Linked DNA regions of Drosophila melanogaster. The protein of the gene in region 2 purifies or fractionates together with the protein of the main gene of each other region. This does not show direct contact. Each region holds a gene or a part of one and is shown on either strand. Other genes may lie near its edges. The genes, in order: Prp31, Ndc80 and Spc25.

What was found.
Region 1: the proteins of Ndc80 (region 2) and Prp31 purify together in Drosophila melanogaster (affinity purification with western blotting; one study listed by BioGRID). This does not show direct contact.
Region 3: the proteins of Ndc80 (region 2) and Spc25 purify together in Drosophila melanogaster (affinity purification with mass spectrometry; 2 studies listed by BioGRID). This does not show direct contact.

What each region holds. Positions count from the first base shown.
Region 1 is NT_037436.4:15,157,133-15,160,885, reverse strand, and holds the start of Prp31 (Pre-mRNA processing factor 31), read right to left. Parts: upstream 1,787-3,753; 5' UTR 1,717-1,786; coding exon 1,618-1,716; intron 1,562-1,617; coding exon 1,110-1,561; intron 1,048-1,109; coding exon 429-1,047; intron 370-428; coding exon 34-369; 3' UTR 1-33. Other genes in the region: Msh6, read left to right, coding at 2,399-3,400, 3,459-3,753.
Region 2 is NC_004354.4:13,609,956-13,613,708, forward strand, and holds the start of Ndc80 (Ndc80), read right to left. Parts: upstream 2,108-3,753; 5' UTR 2,011-2,107; coding exon 1,925-2,010; intron 1,863-1,924; coding exon 1,803-1,862; intron 1,741-1,802; coding exon 1,356-1,740; intron 1,288-1,355; coding exon 1-1,287.
Region 3 is NT_033777.3:12,959,714-12,963,466, reverse strand, and holds Spc25 (Spc25), read right to left. Parts: upstream 1,723-3,753; 5' UTR 1,632-1,722; coding exon 1,505-1,631; intron 1,442-1,504; coding exon 1,225-1,441; intron 751-1,224; coding exon 426-750; 3' UTR 218-425; downstream 1-217. Other genes in the region: grsm (granny smith), read left to right, coding at 3,150-3,753. UniProt on the Drosophila melanogaster protein: Acts as a component of the essential kinetochore-associated Ndc80 complex, which is required for chromosome segregation and spindle checkpoint activity during meiosis and mitosis.

The DNA.
Region 1 (3,753 bases), on a different chromosome or scaffold from region 2:
AATTTTATAGAAAATAAGGATAGAGCTGTTCTCTTAAGTGGTCCGCTGTCCCACTGACATGAATCCGGATGTGTTTGAAAAGTATTTGGCATTGGCCTCCGTCTGCGAACGCTCCGCCGCCTGCGGATTCACAATCTCTAGACCTTGCAGTGGCGTAAAGGCCACACTGGATGCCGTTCCGGAGATTTGGCGTTTGACCGTGGTGTTGCCGCCGTACACCTGCTGTTTCTGCAGATTCTTGTGCAACGTTTTGCTAATGCGCACCTTGGTCTTCTCATCCACCTGGGGCAATCGGATGCGGCCGGTGCCAGTTTTGCCGATGGTGCCGCGTGAATAGCCCAGATCTCCTTGGTAGGCATCCTCTTCGATCTGAAAGAAAAGTTCAAAGATTAATACATAACCATTATATTTTTAAGCCAGAAACTTACGTCTCCGAAATTCATGCGGTTCGCTTGCTTGCGGAACTCTGTCAGCGCATATCGTTCCTTCATCTTGCGCACGCGTTTGCCTCCTCGCTTCTTCTTGCTTCCCTCGATGGGTTTGGGCAGCGGCTTTATGAACTTCACCGGCGGCGGCTCCTGCAGCTTGTCCAGCTTCTTTTCCACATCCTCCTTGAAGCGCAGTCCAATCTCCCCGTGGACACTCTCATGACAGGCATCAACACGAGCAGCCAGCACGGACTTGGCGGCCACCAAGCGAGCTGCCTTGCGTCGCAGATCTGGCGCAGTATCCTGCACAATCTGTGAGTAGTACACATAGCCAGTGTGCGGCAACATCTGCGTTTGTGAGAAGCCCGAGAGGGTTTTCTTTTGTGCACCCAACACCTGAACATTGCAGGCCGGCATTTTGGATAATTTGGAAAGGCCACCAGCAATGCCCAAGAGTTTAGCCGCCGTCGATGCTCCAACAATCATGGAAAGATTTGGGGCTATGAAGGTCATGCGACTTTCCACATACTCGTAGATCTTGGACTTGAAGTTATTCAGTTCGATGGCCATTTCGCAGGCCTCGTCGATCTTTGCCTTCTCCGCCGGTGTCAGCATGGTTCTGCGAAAGGGAATGGGATTCAGTGACATGTTATTTTGGGTTACACCGTTCAAATAACTTACCCCTGTGTGGTGGACGCCGTGACTGACACAATCATAATGGTGGCCTGCGTGAGAATAGCCTGCAGCTTCTCGTTATTTTTGACCTGGTCCAGGTCGTTGCCCAGCTCCTTGACCGCCAGCAAGTACTCGATTTCACCCACGATCAGGGAGTCCAATTCGGGGAATCGCTTCTGATACTTCTCCTTGGTGAACTTGTGCACAATGGAGATCTCGTTGTCAATGTCCACAGCTATGGCATTAGCGTCCACGATGAGGCAGTACTCTGGATCGGATTCTACGGATCCCAGCATTTCGGCTGCAGTTCTCTGGCGACTGGCATAGTGCTCGATCTGCTGCAGCGTGTTCTTCAGGCGCTCAGAGTCGCGCAGCTTGCACAGTTCCCGCACCGACTGCACGGTTACATCCACGTCCATCAGATTGGGAGCCGGCTTAGCCAGCTTCTCCGCCAGCAACTGTTTTGTGGGAGGGGAATCATTAGGTCTGATCAACATTTGCTTTGGTTCCTTACGCTCTCGTCCTCTGCACTGGCCATCTCCGAATCCTCCTCCTCCAGCTCATTGTCATTGTCTTCCTCGAGATCGGCTAAAAGCTCATCGGCTAGCGACATTTTGGCTTATTTCAAAAGTTTATTTTGCGATCTCGTGAAATTAAGTTTGTTTTGGAATTGAAGTGACCGTTGCTCAGCCGCCTTAGAATACCATGCGGTTCATTGAAAAAATACTAAGTATTAGCATGAAATATATAGGGTATTCATTTAAAGAATACCATAAGGCTATTCCACTGGATTTTAATTGATCAATTTGACCAAATTCAATAAACATTTCATGAACAGAACGATCCAATATCATAACTCTTGTTATTATTCTGGAAAGTTTCGATTTTCCTGCTTAATTAGAATTCTGTATCTAAAAGTAAAGGAATTGAAAATATGGTTGAAAATATAAGGTTGATGAAAATATAGGTATGGCTATCAATTGTTTTGCTTAATTCTTAACTATCACTCTTTATTTATTTTGGGACAACAAAGCCTAGATAAACACAGATCAAAAATGAAAAAAAATGACTTATTATATAAGAAGCATCAAATTGTAACGAAAAAATAAAATCTCCTCAGTGGTATTCGAAAATTCCAACGGGCACGAGTTCCCTAAATATACTAAATAGTCAAGCTACTATTTCGGTATTATTAAGCCACAATTTGACAGAATATTTTTTGGTTTTGGCGCACAATCGCAGCGTCTGCATCCTGGTTTTTTGAGTAACCTGGCAGACGTTTCTAGGCCATTGTCATGTCCAAGAAGTTAAACACCAGCGTGGGCGGGACGCCCACAAACACGCTACTAAATTACTTTTCCAAGTCGCCAGCTTTCGACAAAAAGAAATTGACTCCTAGCGTGAAAACAGATCCCGATGCATCCAAGAGCGAAAAGGAGAATCTCCAGAACCAGCAGCCAAAAGTGAAGGATGGTAAGAAAGAGGCTTCCAAGCCGGCGGCCAAGAGGAAGTTGCCCATTTCCGACGATGAGCCGGCCAGTGGTCAACGCAAGCGGAAGCGCATCGTTCAGCCGGAATCGGACAGTGAGCCGGAAATGGAGGTAACCAAGTCGGAGGACGACTTCTCCGATTGCGCCTCCGACTACGAACCGGATGAGAATGAAGCCAGCGATGATAGCGTTAGCAGCGGCGCGGAGGAGGTGTCGCCTAGCGAGAACGACATGTCCGTGGACAGTCCGACACCCAAGAAATCGCGCAAAAAGTCTAAGATTCTGAATAACAACAATAACAATGAGCCATCGAGCAAGAAGGTCAAGCTAGAGTCGACCATCCAGTTGGCCGAGGGTGCAACCTTTCAAGAAAAGCTGAAGAACCTGCAGAGCAATGCCAAGCAGGATGCTTCCTACGATGATATCGTGACCAACACGTCCAATCTGGATGAGCCCGTTGTTTGGCCGCACCAGAAACTAGAGTTCCTGCAACCGGACAAGATCAAGGACAAGGAGGGAAGACGTCCAGATCATCCGGACTACGATAAGAGCACCTTGCATGTGCCGGAGAAGTTCCTCAATGGCCTGTCGCCGGGAGTTCGACAGTGGTGGGTCCTTAAGTCGGACAACTATGACTGCGTCTTGTTTTTTAAAGTCGGCAAGTTCTATGAACTGTATCACATGGATGCGGATGTGGGCGTCAACGAGCTGGGCTTCACTTACATGCGCGGCGAGTTTGCTCACTCCGGTTTCCCGGAGATATCCTTCGACAAGATGTCCACCATTCTCGTAGACAGGGGCTTCAAGGTAATTTGTCCAAGGATAGCTCCTTTTCCCAGTAAAACTAATACAAGTTTTTCTTTAGGTGGCTCGCGTTGAGCAAACGGAAACTCCAGATATGATGACTGAGCGCTGCAAGCGGATCAAGGCCACCAAGTTCGACAAAGTGGTGGCCCGCGAGATCTGCCAGATCACCAATCGTGGCACCCAGGTCTTTGGCTCACAGTGCAAGATCGGGCCGAATCATCAGCCCAACTATATGTTGGCCATAGTGGAGAAGGATGAGGGAACTTGTAGCCGGTATGGAGTGTGCTTCATAGACACCTCCATTGGTGACTTTCATTTGGGTGAGTTTGAAGACGACAAGAACTGTTCCCGCC
Region 2 (3,753 bases):
AGCGGTGAGTAGATCCTCGTTCCGTTGCTTGCTGGCTTCCAGCTTTTCCAGCGCCTGCTTCTCCCTCTTCTCCAACTCATCCAGACGGGCGGTCTGGTCGTACTGATCCTCGAGCAGCTGTTGCCTGTGCTGCGCCTGCATGTCGCGCTTGGTCCGATAACTGGCCTCCATTTTGGTCAGACGCTGTTTCTGCGCCCGCAACTGAGAGTCCATGGTGGCGATTTCGGTGTCTAACTCGATGGAATCAGACTTTACCTTGGCCACCTGCTTGTCCAACATCTGACGCCGATCGATATTCTGCTGGCGGTGCTGTTGCAGAAGTTTGCCCAGCAACTCCAGGCACTGCACCCTCTCCGAGATGTCCTCTTGATTGGGATTTAGTGGCAGAGTAAGGTCCGATTGCTGGCCAATGCCGCTCTTTATCAGGCCACAAATCACCGGGTCCATGCTCAGGTGGCGCACGTGCGAGTTAAAGACCTCAACGGAATCCAGTTGCTTTTGCTTGGCGCGCGACAGCATCACCTGCTGATGCAGCTCCAGCTCGGACACCTCCTTCACCTGGCGCTCATAAGCCTTGGAGTAGTTTTCCATATCGTCGCACTTCATTTGAAGCTCCTTTAGCTGCTGGGCGGAGAACTTCTGCCTGTTAACCGCCTGCTCCAGACGCTTTTCATACTTCATTTGCTGGCGGAGATTAGACTGTTTTTCTTCTACCTGGGCAGACAGCTGTTCGTATAACTTCAGTTTCTTGATCAGCTCCTCTTCACTGGCAGCTAGCTGTTGGGCAAGCTGATCGTGCTCTTTGGTAAGACGTTCCAGTTTGTTCAGTTTATTGTCTTCACTGGGATCATGCAACTTATTCTCCAGTTGCTGTAGTTTCGTCTTCAGATCGCCGATTAGCTGGTCTAAGGCTTTGCGATCGGGCAAATCACACTTCTTGCTGATCACCTGATCCCTGGTCTCCGCCTGCAGCTTGGCCTCCTCATTGGTAAGCTCCTGATCCCACAAGGCAATGCATTTGCTAGCCTCTTCGAAGAGCAGACCATTGACGTCTTCATCTAGCTGAATGGCGTGCGCCTGTGTGGTGGACATGATGGTCGTCGACTCGCAGTGCATGCTATTCAGATACGAGCTGGGCTGCTCCATGGTTTCCATAAACGGAAACTCCTCCTCCACCACATCCGACGAGGGCAGAGGCGGTAAAAAGTCCATGAGAAAGTCCAGCAGAACGATCACATGGCCGAATGAATGCTGTGTTGTTGGCGATACAAGCCATGATTTGTTCACCTGCAAGTCACAAGTGGATTTAAGAATTAAACGAACACTGGAAACCTAAGAGCATCCGAGTTGCTTACCTGATAAGGATACTGTAGCTTTTGCATTGCGCTGGTAATATCCTCGACATGGTTCTGGCCCACTGTCACGCGATTTCGCCAGATGTGGTGGAACATAAAGTTGAGAATGGAAACAAATTGCTTGATGGTCATGTGTCGCAAACCCCCGGGCCGACTGAATAGATCCGCAATAAGTCCAGTGGGCGCCTCGCTGTTCTGAATGCCATGTAGGTATTCCAGGATCTGCTGTGCCCTCTCCGCCACCCATTTCTTGTCGGAGTGTGGCGCAATGGCGCGCTCCGCAGTGGAGGGCACAAACCGGTGGCCTCGCTTGGGCGTCACGCCCATTTGACTGGCCCGATCGCGCTCCAAGTTCAGCGGCTGCGGCAGACGCGATGCGGACGGCCTATGCGGATTGGATTCAAACATTACTGGTTGTGCCTTCGATAATCAAATGGTTGTGCATACCTTCTGGGTGCCGCCTGGCTGGAGGACGGAGTGTGCGTGGCTGCGCTCCGCTTTGTTGCCCTGGAAAAGGATACGCATTTGCATCGTTGACAAGATTTGATCAGTTGGATTTCGATGCTCACCTGGTTTGCCGCTTATCGGCAGTGCCTCGCTCCTCCAGTACATCGCCACGGAACTCGCTGGTCCGCCGGGGCATCAGGTGCGACATCTTGGCGTTATTGAAACTACGTTGATTAAATTAAATGTTTACTCAGTTTGATTGGGAATCGCGCGTCGTTTAACGCCTGTTATCGGCAAATCGATAGTTTCCAGGGATGCAGTCGCGATTGACACCCTAGTGTTACTAAACCATCTGGCAGCACTGCCAAATAAAAAGTGCGCCATTTACTTAAAAATTCTGATTACTTTAGGATCATGCCACCAAAACGGAACAAAAAAGCAGAGGTACGATTGAAATACTACATTATTTCAATAGCTAAATGCATTTCCAAACGATTCTACAGGCGCCAATCGCTGAGCGGGATGCAGGCGAAGAGCTGGATCCCAATGCGCCGGTGCTCTACGTAGAGCACTGCCGATCCTGACGAGTCTTTCGTCGTCGAGCGGAGGAGCTGCACTCCGCTCTCCGGGAGCGTGGTCTCCAACAGCTTCAGCTCCAGCTGAATGCACTTGGAGCACCACGGCGAGGAGCCTTCGAGTTAAGTTTGAGCGCCGGCGGAATGGGAAAGCAGGAGCAGGTGGCACTTTGGTCGGGTCTAAAGCGGGGTCCACCACGTGCTCGCAAGTTTCCCACTGTGGAGGAGGTATACGATCGGATTGTAGGGATTCTAGGTGACCAGCAGGAGTCCAAGGAACAGATCAACACGCAGAAGTTATCTAAAATTGATTTACCGGGGTCCGAGGCTCTAGCATCGCCAAAGAAGTCGGAGTCCACAGAGGAAGCACAGGAAAACGAGGTAGGGAAGGCCCAATAAGTCCAGAAAAAATTAACTAAATATTGTTTTTATCAAAAACGAAGGCACCAACTTCAACTTCAACTTCGCGTAAATCCAAAAAGGAACAGAAATCCGAGGAAGAGCCAACTCAAGTCGATTCAAAGGAAGCGAAGCAATCCAAAGAGTTGGTCAAAACGAAGAGACAACCGAAAGCCCAAAAGAAGCAGGCAAAGGCATCCGAATCCCAAGAAGAAGTTGCCGAAGATAAGCCCCCTAGCAGCCAGAAACGGAAGCGGACCACCAGATCCTCCACAGACGAGGCTACTGCCGGTGCCAAGCGGAGGAGGTAGTTGTGCCCAAAACAAAGCGTTCAGCAATAGAGCCCTATGATCGATGATTGGCAAATCCTCTCGAGGAACCGATCGTTGAGAACCCCTTTGCCTTTGTTGATCGCTCAATTTTGGATCAAAAACTACATACATGAAAAATACTCGAGCATTGTTATTACAAAATATATTAAAACATCTTAGAAACCTATTTCCATTTTTGTTTTTTTTTTTCATTCTCTTGTGGTTCATTTTTGTCTGATTTTTTGCCTCTCATTCGTTAAAATTTTGTGGACTTTGATTTTTCTTCCAAAATGTACATGTTTTCCTTTTTTGATCTTATTTCAATTTTGTCCCTTCTTAGTTAGTTAAAATTTGTTTTCGTTTTTAGCTCAGCTTAATAATTATGATCCTAGAGAAAAAATTTTGGTTTTACGAAATTGTTTTTACTTTTAGCTTCTTCTAATGCTAGAGATACCCTACCACTTGCCTAAATAGATTACAATCTGAATTGTCTCTTTTTTAACTAAAATTTTGGTTAAATAAAAAAAATTGAATATAATATGTGGGGAGGGGTGGGGAGCTAGGTGAAATAGTATTAAGAACATGCAGCAACAGAAACCGAGAGATTGCGATTAGGTGGAGAGCCAGTCCAAAAGGTGGACTTGCCTTAAGTAGAGTCGCAAATAC
Region 3 (3,753 bases), on a different chromosome or scaffold from region 2:
ATATAATTATCACTAAAGTTGTAAATTTGGTTAAATATGATAAGAAGACTTTTGATTTAAAATAAATTCAATAACTGGTTTTTAATTTGAATAAGTTTGAATTGGAACTACTTAAACTGGAGCCTTTCGCGATATCTCTTCTTTGGCGATATCTCTAAAAATTTTTAAGCTTCCAGTGAAGATGATATATCAGAAAAAAGAAAAAAAAAAAAATTTTGGGAGATATATGTATAATTTACACTGCACTTAAACAATTACAAGCAGTACTTAAATGGCTAAAAAACTGCTATAATAAGATGCTTAATTCGTTAAGATGAATTCCCAATTGAGCTTTTATTGGAAGCCAACTATTTATAATGCTAAAATAAAGTGCTCCATTGGAAAAGGGTCTTCCCCCTAATCCAAGTAAATCAGTTAATCGGAAGTCAGGTGTGGCTCATCGGCGATGTGAGATCAATCTCGATTATAGACTTGCAATTGTCTGCTTCCTTGGGCGGAGTAGTGGGAGCACGTGACTCCATAGCCATGTCCATGGCCAGCGAGATAAGCTGCTGCCACTGCGCCACGTCCACATTTAGACTCTCGAGATGCTGACACAGTGAGTCCAGTCCTTCCACATCGGTCGCCTTCAGATCAAAGGGTATCAACTGGTCGCGTTTATCGCCACGGAGTACAGTGACACCCTTCACACGTGCCGGCAGCGCTTCTTGATTTATATAGGTTCTTGTTGTCTTCGACAGCGTGTGAATGCTATAAAATAAAACAAATAAACACACATTGCTCTCATTATAGTATACTAAGTTTAAAACTGACCGCATTAAAATCGGATTTGTTTGAAAAATAAGAGCGCATGTGAGGCTATGCAAATAAATTATGTATGTAAGCTAAATAAGTTATTTGGAACACGACCTCAACTATATCTATTATTTGCAGTTTATAGACTTTGATGATGCTCCTAATAGATTTAGTTAAAGTAAATAAAGTATTTGATTAGTCTCTCACTGCAACTTGTACGCATGTAAAGACCATAAATGTTGACAATACATTATTGTCATATACATATATTTGTACCAATAGTAGTTTTGGATGGACTAAAAATCAATATGAATAGTCATTTTTATGTATAATAAGGACAAGATCGAACCCATTGGAGCCCGGAAAATATTAGCTAGCCATTCGTGCTAAGAAAATCTTAATATGATTATCTTTGACCTAATCCCTGACCTTTCCATGATTTCGTTTTTGCGCTGTTTGGCCAGCATTTTCTGCTGTTTAAACCAATCTTTCATGGCCAAATTGTGAAGTTTGGTGGCCTCCAGTTCTCGATCAAGTTCCTCTATGAAGGAAACTCGCTTGTCCAACTCCTCCCGCCGCTCCATGAGCACTTTTTGCAACTTTCCCACTTTCCGCTGATGGCGCGAAGCTGCTTCCTTGACATCCACTAAAATATTTAGTGAAATATATCAATTGAAATGGAGATATATGGAGATAAATTCCAACTCACACAAATTGCTGTTGAATTTAAAGACCTTTTTGATGAATTTCGCCTCGAGGGCTTCCATGTGAATTTGTTTTTCGTACAAAGCCTTTACGCGCCTTTCGTAACTCGATTCAGTCATAATAATTGCCATTTTAAACTCAATTTACTGCAATCAATTAAAATCTTTAAAAACTAAGCGCCGTTTTCCAGACGCTTGTTTTGCTTTCCAGTTAGTGGTGGTACTTCTCATTAGGGATGACACTTCCACGACACCAGCAGGGTGGCCAGGCTGAAAGAAAAAAGTGGTTCTGCACTTATCGATAGCTGACATCGACTTATCGTCGTGCAAGTCACATCTCTATTAGCCGGCAAGCAAAAAATTGCAAGTCAAATTGGCAGCAAAATAAAATAAAAATAAAACGTCGGCACTTTTGGCAAATTTTTGTGCAATTTCTGAAGCAGGCACTTCATGCGTTTGCTGCTCTGCGTCCAGGCAATACGCAACCATCTCGCTCGCACCTACAGCAGCGCCCGCTTCAAAAAGGTGAGCGAATAAAAAGGCAGAAAATGTGCAAAAAACGCTTTGCAAACGAAGAAATCGCGAACAAAGAGTCTAAAAATAGAGAATATAGAATTTGCATAATATTTCTACATATCGAGTGTCCAGTCAAATCCAATTGAAAATGGGTAAATTAGATGTTTATCCACTTTTCGGTTTCGAATGCTGCGAGTCGGTCAACGACCCACTTGTTGTTCTTGTTGCACCGAATTCAAGGTCATGTGGCATTTGCGATTTTAAGAAACTTAAATCGCTTTATGCACAATGATATCGTGCTTATAAAACCCATGCGAGTTTATGGAGCATCGTAAAGATATGTGCTGAACGATATCTTTTCGGTAGTTTATGTTTTTATTGCCTTGCGACTGTAAAGCTGGAAAATTGATGGCTTTAAGTTGAAAATGTTAACTACTTAGTTAAGTTATTGTACCAAAATATATTAAAATTAATAATTTGTAAAAAAAAACGTTATTTGATTTTATAAGATTTTCTAATATTCGCTAAAACTCAGAAAATGTTATGTAAATTATTAGAATTCATATTGCTACTACAATTTATCTTAATTTGTTCATTATAAATGCAATACAATTTATATTTATGTATATTAGGTGATTATTATAGTTAAAATATTTTAGAGGTAATTTTTTTCTTTTGAAGCTTCATTTTATGAACCCAATGCTTTTTAGTTGTAAACATAATTATTGATTGATTGTTTTTTATTAGAATTTTAGTTATAAAATTATACTGCAGTATTTTTCACAATGGAGCTACTTTAATTGAGCCATTCTAATATGGGTCAGCTATTCTTAAACTTCCCCTACAGCGTTGCATCCGCTTGCAACCGATGAGTAACGCCCCTGTGTTTGTCCAGATGGCCCTACCCATAACCCAAATGCCACTGCTTATCTCGCCGGTTTTGGCTCTCGTGATTTATGGATGGCTGCATCCATTGACCGCCCCTGTGGTGCAAAGTCGTCGACTGATAAGCAAGTGGGGCACTTGGAGCGCTAAACACCAGATTAGCACCGATAAGATAATACCGGCGGCTTATCACTGGGATTTGGCTAGCCATTCCATTCTTTACTCATTCGCACACACATTCTCTTACAGATGGCCACGGACGTAAAGTTTAACGAGTCGCTAGGCTGCAGTGATCCGCAGACACATCCGGTCCTGATCATCGGCCAGCTGCGCCATCTAAACCTACTGAAGTTCAGTCATCTGGAGAGCAAACTCAGTCCGCGCGTCACCGAGGAGACCTTCCTGAATGCCGTCGCTTGTCTGCATCCCGCGCCCACCGATAAGGTATCCCTCTATCTCGATGTGGCCACCGTGGCTGCCCTGCCATTGAAGGCATCCCGACACAATACGGCATCCCGGGCTCATGCCATCACTCGTCTGGTAAAGAACCATGTGCTGAACGTTTCCGAGGAGAGCGTGGTGCTCGTCTGCGAACGAGAGAATCTATTCGCCAGCGCCTGTGCGGTGGTTCGCGCTTTTCCACTCTATTCCCGCAAAACGGGCAATCTGCTGGCCTCAAGTCAGCCAAAGCTAAATCTTGGATGTGGAGATGGAAACGCAAATTCAGGACGCAACGTAGTCAATGTTGAGTTTGTGCTAATCAACAAGGATGGCTGCATTGAGAGCGAGCCTTTGACAGACGACGAGCTAAATTGCCTGAATGAGACCACACGGGCAATTCGAATGACTGCTC